Oryzias latipes: one gene and its partner. The protein of the gene in region 2 interacts with the protein of the main gene of each other region in a biochemical or structural test. Links are inferred from orthologs where the notes say so. Each region holds a gene or a part of one and is shown on either strand. Other genes may lie near its edges.

Evidence for each region.
Region 1: the proteins of arhgap1 (region 2) and bnip2 form a complex in vitro, tested with the Homo sapiens proteins (2 studies listed by BioGRID). The link is inferred for Oryzias latipes from reciprocal best matches to the Homo sapiens genes ARHGAP1 and BNIP2.

What each region holds. Positions count from the first base shown.
Region 1 is NC_019864.2:17,098,768-17,103,029, reverse strand, and holds the start of bnip2 (BCL2/adenovirus E1B 19 kDa protein-interacting protein 2), read left to right. Parts: upstream 1-1,312; 5' UTR 1,313-1,840; coding exon 1,841-2,196; intron 2,197-4,262.
Region 2 is NC_019860.2:878,265-882,087, reverse strand, and holds part of arhgap1 (rho GTPase-activating protein 1), read right to left. Parts: intron 3,760-3,823; coding exon 3,672-3,759; intron 3,073-3,671; coding exon 2,941-3,072; intron 1,227-2,940; coding exon 1,140-1,226; intron 254-1,139; coding exon 155-253; intron 70-154; coding exon 1-69. UniProt on the Homo sapiens protein: GTPase activator for the Rho, Rac and Cdc42 proteins, converting them to the putatively inactive GDP-bound state. Cdc42 seems to be the preferred substrate.

The DNA of each region.
Region 1 (4,262 bases), on a different chromosome or scaffold from region 2:
GCTTTTCTGGACTGAGAGGTCTGAGGTCTTTCCAGGTATCTGTTGTAGCCACTCGTCCAGCTTGGGGGTTACTGCCCCGAGTGCTCCAATTACCACAGGCACCACTGTCACCTTCACTTTCCATGCTTTCTCCAGTTCTTCTCTGAGTCCCTGGTATTTCTCCAGTTTCTCATGTTCGTTCTTCCTGATGTTCCCATCGCTTGGCACTGCCACATCCACCACAACGGCTTTCCTCTGTTCTTTATCCACCACAATCTGTTAGTTAGTTTGCCATTACCATCCTGGATCTGGAAGTACCACAGGATCTTGGCTGTTCTTTTGTCTGATTTTGGTTTCCCAAATTCTAACTGTCAGTCATGAAGAAAACTCCAGTGCTGAATTTATATATACCGCAAATTTATCGTTATCGCGAAATCAAGCTGTGCAATATGCATACCGCAAAAGACGGCAAAAATTGCTATAAATGATTACCTTAAATGTGTTAAAACAAACTCATGGCAGCTTGAAATATTGAACAAATGAAATAAATCCCTTTATGCATTTAACCAATCAGAAGGACCCGTTTATATTGTTGATCAATCAGATGAGCCCTTTTATGTTTGATGTTTGCCTCCTACGTCGACAAGGGTCATTTGGAGTATAATTTTTAAACTGTTGCAGTGAAATGGAAATTATGTTTTTGGTTTTTTTGCTATTTGTTTATATACCGCAAATTATATCGTTATCGCAATATTAATTACCAATATCGCATATCGCGAGTTTTCCTCATATCATGCAGCCCTACCAAGGATCCAAAAAAAGTATTGTGAAATAGCCAGAAGTTAAAAAAAAGGTAACAAAAAACAAACACAAAACAAAGATTAAATGTCTGAAGTGATCTAAACTAATCAACATTTCATAAACAAAAGCATAAACAAAAATGTCATAAATGGAAATGTATTATATAAAATTAGGAATATATCCCTTCAAATAACAAAGCAGATGCATTCCTAAAAAACAAACTGACAGAGGGTCACCAGAAGACAACAACCAAATCTTTATTTTATTGTATTTTGGGTTGGTTGTTTTAATTTTTTGGGTAATATTTATTCATGCAAAAAGTTTTCAAAATTAGGTTTGTAGTTTGATCATCTACTTTTATGAATATGAACTCTTCCACACACACACTATTTGTGCCCTGGGACCGTCCTTTTCTTCACATCCGCCCCTGGTGTCTGCCAGTTATGGCTAGTTAAATGAACTGACGCAGGTTGTATACACTATTGCAGTAAACCGTGCGAATGTGTCGTATTTAGTTACTGAGTTGATTTATTGCATTGTATTTTTTTTTTTTTTTTTTTTGTCGTATCTGTAGCACTGTGATAACACGCTGCCTAAGGTTATGTAGCTTAGTTAGTGTAGCTGAAAAGCTATCTGACATTAGTTCCGTCCGCAGCAGAGAGTTGCATTGTGACTTGGAGGAAGGAAGGAAACGGAGAAAAGTTGGTTCGCTGCGTACAACTCACTGCCTTTCGTGAAGAAGGTAGCACAGTTTTGGACTCTCATATTCACACCGTGACGCATTTAGGAACGGTGACTAAAGCTTGGTACCCTCTGTGATATTTCACAATGTTGAGTTTGTTAGATATGTCGTCGCTTATTATAGCTAGGTGTTAGCAACAGGACTTTTTCGGTTAGCTGCGCCGTAGACGAGAGCTCAGCTAGCCAAAAAGCTACAAACTTGGGAGGAAGTCGCGTAAATTCTGGTCTAGCTTGTTAATGATTGAGGAACCGGGCTGATTGGGGGTTTCAAACACTCAGTCAACCTGACCAAGTACTAGTTTGGCCAGATATTTACCTCATGGCATCGGAAGTGATAGAAGGTGAAGCGGTGTTGACGGGTTTGACTGATATTAATTTGAACAATAGCAGCCCAGATGTAGTCACACCCAGCAGAAGTTCCGAAAACATGGACAATAGGGAGACGTCTAGCCCGTCATCTTCCGGAGTGTCGGGAGATGACGAGGATTTAAACGAGTTACAGACAAGTGCAGCCTCTGTTGTTGAAAATGACAAAGAGTCGGGAGAAAGTCCAACCAAAACAAAAGAAGTGTCGCAGAAACGGACGGGTAATGTGCAGATACAGCCGGCAGGAAGGATGGTCTCTACCCCAGTAACCCTTCACCAGTCACCGTTAACTCCTGAACCCACTGGAAGGTCTGTATTTTTCCTGTTTGGGGTATGTAGTTGCCAACTTTGGGTCGAGTTTACACTATTTCTGAACTTACTAACTGACTTGCTTTTTGTGTGTCAGCTGCTGATAATATTCAACTAACTTTTTTTGTTTTTACCTAAGTTCATCATCAGTTACTTCAAGTCAAAAAAGAGAAACGCATTAAGATTCCTCACAAAAACACACAGTATACTCTACAACTGAAGGCAATAACCAGAATACAGAACAAACCTTTATGACTTCTTTGCTTTTCAAACTTAGTTGCTCCAATGCTGTGGCTTTGACAGTCATTAGGGATGCAACGCTTCATTTAAACAATGATTTGATTCATAGCATAATTTGTCGTTACTGATATGATTAATAGTTTATATTGGTTCATTTTGAAGAGACGATTCACTGACCTAATATCAATCCTTGACATCTTCATCTTCAGCCAAAATTTCCTCCAGTGTGACTCAGAGATGAATAGCTGGCTACTGAACAGTGCACATGCAGTTTTCCAGATTCCTTGTATTTCTTGCAAGATAATCAAGTGTAAATGCAATATGTGTACAAACAAACAAGTAAACTAGAATTAATGGCAAATCTATTCACATTTTAGTTTCCATAAGTGCCGCCCACCGTTTTTTTTTTCACATCAAAATAATCCAAAAGGGGAAAATTATTAGAGCATTCTACCACACTGTATGGCTTTACACGACTTTGTAAACGGAAAGTTTTTCCACACATTTGCAGCAAAGAAATGATGGCTTGATCATTTTTTGCCGCCATCACGTTTGTTGTACGCTGTGATGGACTTGGTCGCGTTTTTACTTTGTAGTTAAATAAACCTACCGTGTCTCAATCCAAAGGGTATTTTACTATATTAATAATCGATTTATTTCATTTTGAAACAATTATGGTATAGGTGATTTGCCTCAAATAGATCGATCTGCTTGGATATTACAATTCATTGATTAAGTCAATTATTGTTACACCTCTAACTATCATAGCTTCCCATAATTGAAATAAGATTTTTACAAAAACAAAAAGCTTTAGCAGAGACAAGAGCTTTAATTATTTGCTAAAAGGCTCCAACTTAATTTCTAGTTTTGTCCCTGGATGTAGAATTTTAGTGCAGAAAACAAAACAATTGTACCTTTTGCAGTGAAGCACCACTAAAATAACCATTTTAATTATAACATCAGAAATTAACGAGTAACATTTTAAAGATAAAGTAACTGTGAAGTAGATTGTTTTTTCACACTTATTTATCTTTGCTTTAATGGAATACTCTGAAAAATTCATGTCTTCAAAAGAATATTTAAAAGCATTTATCTATGTACTTTACTTGAGTCAGCTAAATCTGTATGTTAGCACTGCATGATCCATGTTTTCATTTTCTAAACATTTATTTTTTTCACGTTAGTATTTGTAATGATCCTAATGTGTTCCCACTCATTTTTGTGATTTGTGTGATTAAATTATGTTTGTTCATATGTATTTTTTCTATTGAAATGTGCTGCCTGTTGGCCAGGACTCCCTTGGAAAAGAGGTTTTTAATCTCTATGGAAATTTCCTGGTTAAATAAAAGTTAAATTAAAAATATTAAAAGGCCTGTGCCATTTGCATTAGTAAATTAAAAATAAGTTTGTTGCACACATGCAGAGATGAGCTATTCTGAGAGATCAGTGTGTCACCCAGTCACAGATACAATAGGCAGCTTTAGTTGTGGTTCATAAACTAATCTCTTAACTAAAGCTCACAGGTTTTCATGAATAAATAGAGCTGATTTTAAAGTAAACTACAAGCTTGAGCATCCGAGCTGATTTTGGAGACTGTAAATTTTATTGTGTTTAAAAAAAGTAATTGACAGAGTTTCTAAGTCTGACAAAATGTCATTAAACATTTTATCTTTGACTAATTTATTGTTATGGTCAGAAAACAAATGCTGCTGACAGAAAAAAAGAAAGCTTTCATTCATTTTTAACTTCTATTTTTCAATCTATTTATGATCTTTCATTCTGAGGAGTAGAATCAAGAGTTTAATGTATGTGATTTAGGGAGAATA
Region 2 (3,823 bases):
GGGCTACGGGGAGGGGACATGGGGGGCGGTGAGCTCGGCTTGGCAGAGGCCCTCAGCTTGTCGTCGTACCTGGATAGGTCAGACAACATCAAAGCGGGGTTTGGAAGCGAGTCGCCATGACAACAGCGGGGTCTAGTTTGGAGGCGGGGCTTACTCTTGGACTCGCTGGGGGATCAGCAGCTGCTCGCACTTCACCACGTCCTCCAGCTCGCTCAGGTAACTCACGTAGTTGATCTTCCTGCCGAACTTCAGGCTAAAAACAGGAAGAGAAAAACAAAAATAACCCTTTCAAAATAAAGTTCCCAAATCTCCCTTTATTTCCTGCCCCCCCCCCAAAAAAAATGTATTTATGAGCATTGAGAAAGTTATAAAACAGTACATTTAAATTCACTTAGGGCCTATTTTCTGGTTTTTACTGTCAAATTTGCAAACTTTATTTTGAAAGTTTGACCTTTTTAAAGAATAAATGAGTAGTTGTTCCAAAACTATAAGGACATGTGAAGGAAATCTGAATGACTTTGGGTAATTTGGCAGCAAAACTCAAGTCGTTTTCAATGTTAACATGAAAATAAATACTAGTTATAATTAATATAATATAATTATAAAGTCAAATCAAAACGCTTCCTTCAAAAGCATCAGTAGTTTAGTGTTTTCAGAGGTAATAACCTTCATTTTTAATAAAAATTCCTGAACTAGAGTCTATAAAAAGAAGAAACTCCTCCAAGGAGTGAATGTTTTGACCAGCAGGGGGCGCCGCAAACACACAAATCACTCCTAAAAAGTCACTTCCATCAGGATGTCAATGCTGATGCTCCTCACCAAACACCTGCTGCGGCTTCGTTTACGCCACAGAACCAGAACCAACACTCAGATCTGGTTCCACCCGAGGTTCTCCACAGAAGGAACCACCGTTCAACCATCATTGGTGGAGCAGAGCATCCCTGACGGCGACGCCTTCCTTCATTTCAAAAGCTCTTTAATTCTTTGATCCTATCAGAGTTCACCTGACCCGACCTTATCAGAACATTTCACAGGTGAACAACCGGATTTTTTTTTAAAGCATCAAGAACCTCTTTTATGACTCCAGACATTCAAGAGAGCTCAGCGTCTCTGTTTACGGAACAAGAAGAGGAAGGAACCTGATGATGGGCTTGAAGAGAACCAGCAGAGTCTTGATGAACAGGGTTGGATGGACGATGTACAGCGCTTTGATGTTCTTCTTGTACCTGCAGACATGAGAAGGTTCTGAGTACACGGGAGTCTGTGGAGAAACACGCAGAAGCTTCACTGCATTGACGTTGACGAATAAACTCGTCTGCAGGAACCAAAACAACCAGCGGGTTGGTCTGGAGAACCTTTAGAGTTCAGACCAAACGGATCCTGAAAAGGTGCAGCTGAGCTTTGTTTAGTTCCTGATCCAAGAGCTTCAACACAATAGAAACAAAACCTTATAATGCACCTGGAAGAACACATTCTGTCAGTGGCAACAGGCTCTCACTGATTAGGCGTTGTCTTGTACCTACAGAACCTCTCTGAGGTTCCAGCCTTAAACTGTAGGTTTGATGTCACACTTAGAAAATGCCTCACCTGCAGCTCTAGCGAAATCAGGCCAAATCCTTCACCAATGCCTCCTCATATGGGCGCCGCTATGTTGAAACCACGTCGCCATTGCCCATAGATACGATGACTCAGCGACTCTGACCAATCACTTTCAACTGGTTTCAACATGGCGGCGCCCGTATCAGGAAGCACTGGTGCTTCCCATTTAGGTAAACGAGAAGGGAGGGGTTGAGCTGTTCATCGTTTCTACAGTCAGTGGTTCCAGCACATATATGCAACCCGCTATACTGCAAGGGGCCTTATGGAAAGCCAACAGGGCCAAAAAGTCATCAACAGTTACAATTGTCACAGTTGCTCAAAAGTCTTAGATGGATACAATTCCATCAATATTTTAACCCTATTGGTTTGCCGTAGGGTTCGGTAAAACTTTGTGTATCTCCACTTTTAGCTGTGCATCACTGTCAGCCATCTTTTGTCAACTGCATGGTTGAGAGACAATCTTAGCATTCTTTCAGACGTCGTCACGCCTCTTTGAGGCGAGTCAGTGGCGTGTTCGGCTCAGCTGATCCCACTGAACACGCCCGAACACTAGCATGCACTAAAGACTTGATTTACAGTTGACCAATAAAAAATCTTTTAAACTGTAAGGGTTTTGAAATTAAACCATAAAAAGTACCAAAGCTGTCTGAAACTAAACATGACACTGGTAAAAACCTCCTAATAATACCTCTAGCTAGTCAAATGCTGGCATGTTTAGATTTCAGGTATTATGGCAATTCAACTTCCTGTGTGTACCTTGTTTGATTGCTCTCACTGTATTTAGGTTGTTTATCGTGGAAACCATGGAGACAAGTGTGTGTGTGTGTGTGTGTGTGTGTGTGTGTGTATAATGCTCTGTTGCAAAAGGTTTGAATAAAATATAAGTTAAAAAACAAACAAACACAAATCTAAAGCCGGTTTTGCGTTACAAAACGAGAAAAAGGTGGCTCAGCTGTTGGCCAACCATTTTCTGTTATTTATCGGTAGCATTGGAGGTTGAGTTTAAGGGGTTTTAAACACTTCCAAACTCTCTATAGACGTCAGTTCCAGGCATTTTCCTCTGTATTGACCCGTGTCTGTTTCTTCAAAAAAAAAAAAAAACGGCCTAATCACTGGGAATGCTTTGAAAATAGCTCTAAATGTGGTCATAGTGGGATGACCACTAGCTATTTCCAGTTTATTCACCTTTACAAGCGATGAGGTCTGTGTTGTTTGGCGTTTAGACGCCATTATTTTAGTTTCTACTGCGAGGGAAAATGATGTTATTGGCTGTTAGTATTGACCCTAAAAAAAGCCCATCGGTCGTTCCCCGGTTCGCTTCGTGAGCGCCTTTGAACCTACTTCCTGTCAAACTCCTTGTAGGCGTCTCGGAGCCAGCCCAAGGACGGTTTGTTCAGACTGGTCAGCCCGTGGTGGAAGTAGATGAGAGTGTAGTCGCTTTCCACGTACTGGTCCAGCGTAGCTTTCAGGTACCTGCGGCACGAAAACACACCGTCACTGACAGGCGAAGCTGTGAGGAACTAAACGCTCTCACAATGGAGGTCGGCACTTCCTAGTTCTTGTCTTTTTCACCTTTTGAAAGTGGCTTCTCTTTGGAGGGACTTTCAAAGTAAAAGTAAGATCAATTGCAATGAGCAACAAAACTACATGAGGAAAAGAAAAAAAGTTTGTAGGATGGGGCGTTACTCCCAAATTCCTGAACCAATTCAGATTTCTTTTTTTAAATATCGATAGATTTTTCTGAATTCCTTCAAAAACCAGATTTGTTTTTTCATTTAGAAAAATGTTTTCCCACAACTTTGGATGTAAACTAAACATAAGCTGAACGTAGAAACGTTTGACGTTTTTGTCTTTTATTTTGAAAATCTACATTAGTATTACAGGAACGGGCTAAAGCGAACTAACGTTTTCACTCAAAAGGAGAAAGTCTTCAGATGTGCTGCTAGTTAATATTTTAAACAAGGGTTCCTTTGAGTTTGACCTCTAGGTTTCATCATTGGGCGGGTCATTGTGGCGTCTGACACACAAACGCAACATCAAAAGGTTCGATTCCTGTACCGCTACGTACTCACATCAGCAGCTTGTGGTGGTCCAGCTCGTGCTGCGGCGGCATCCTGCAGGCGCTGAAAACGATCACCTTCCTGCCGAAGTTGTCGTCACCTGTGAGCGGAAAGCCGCCATGACTCAACAGGAACTTTGCCTTCGAGGTAACAAGACCAACTTC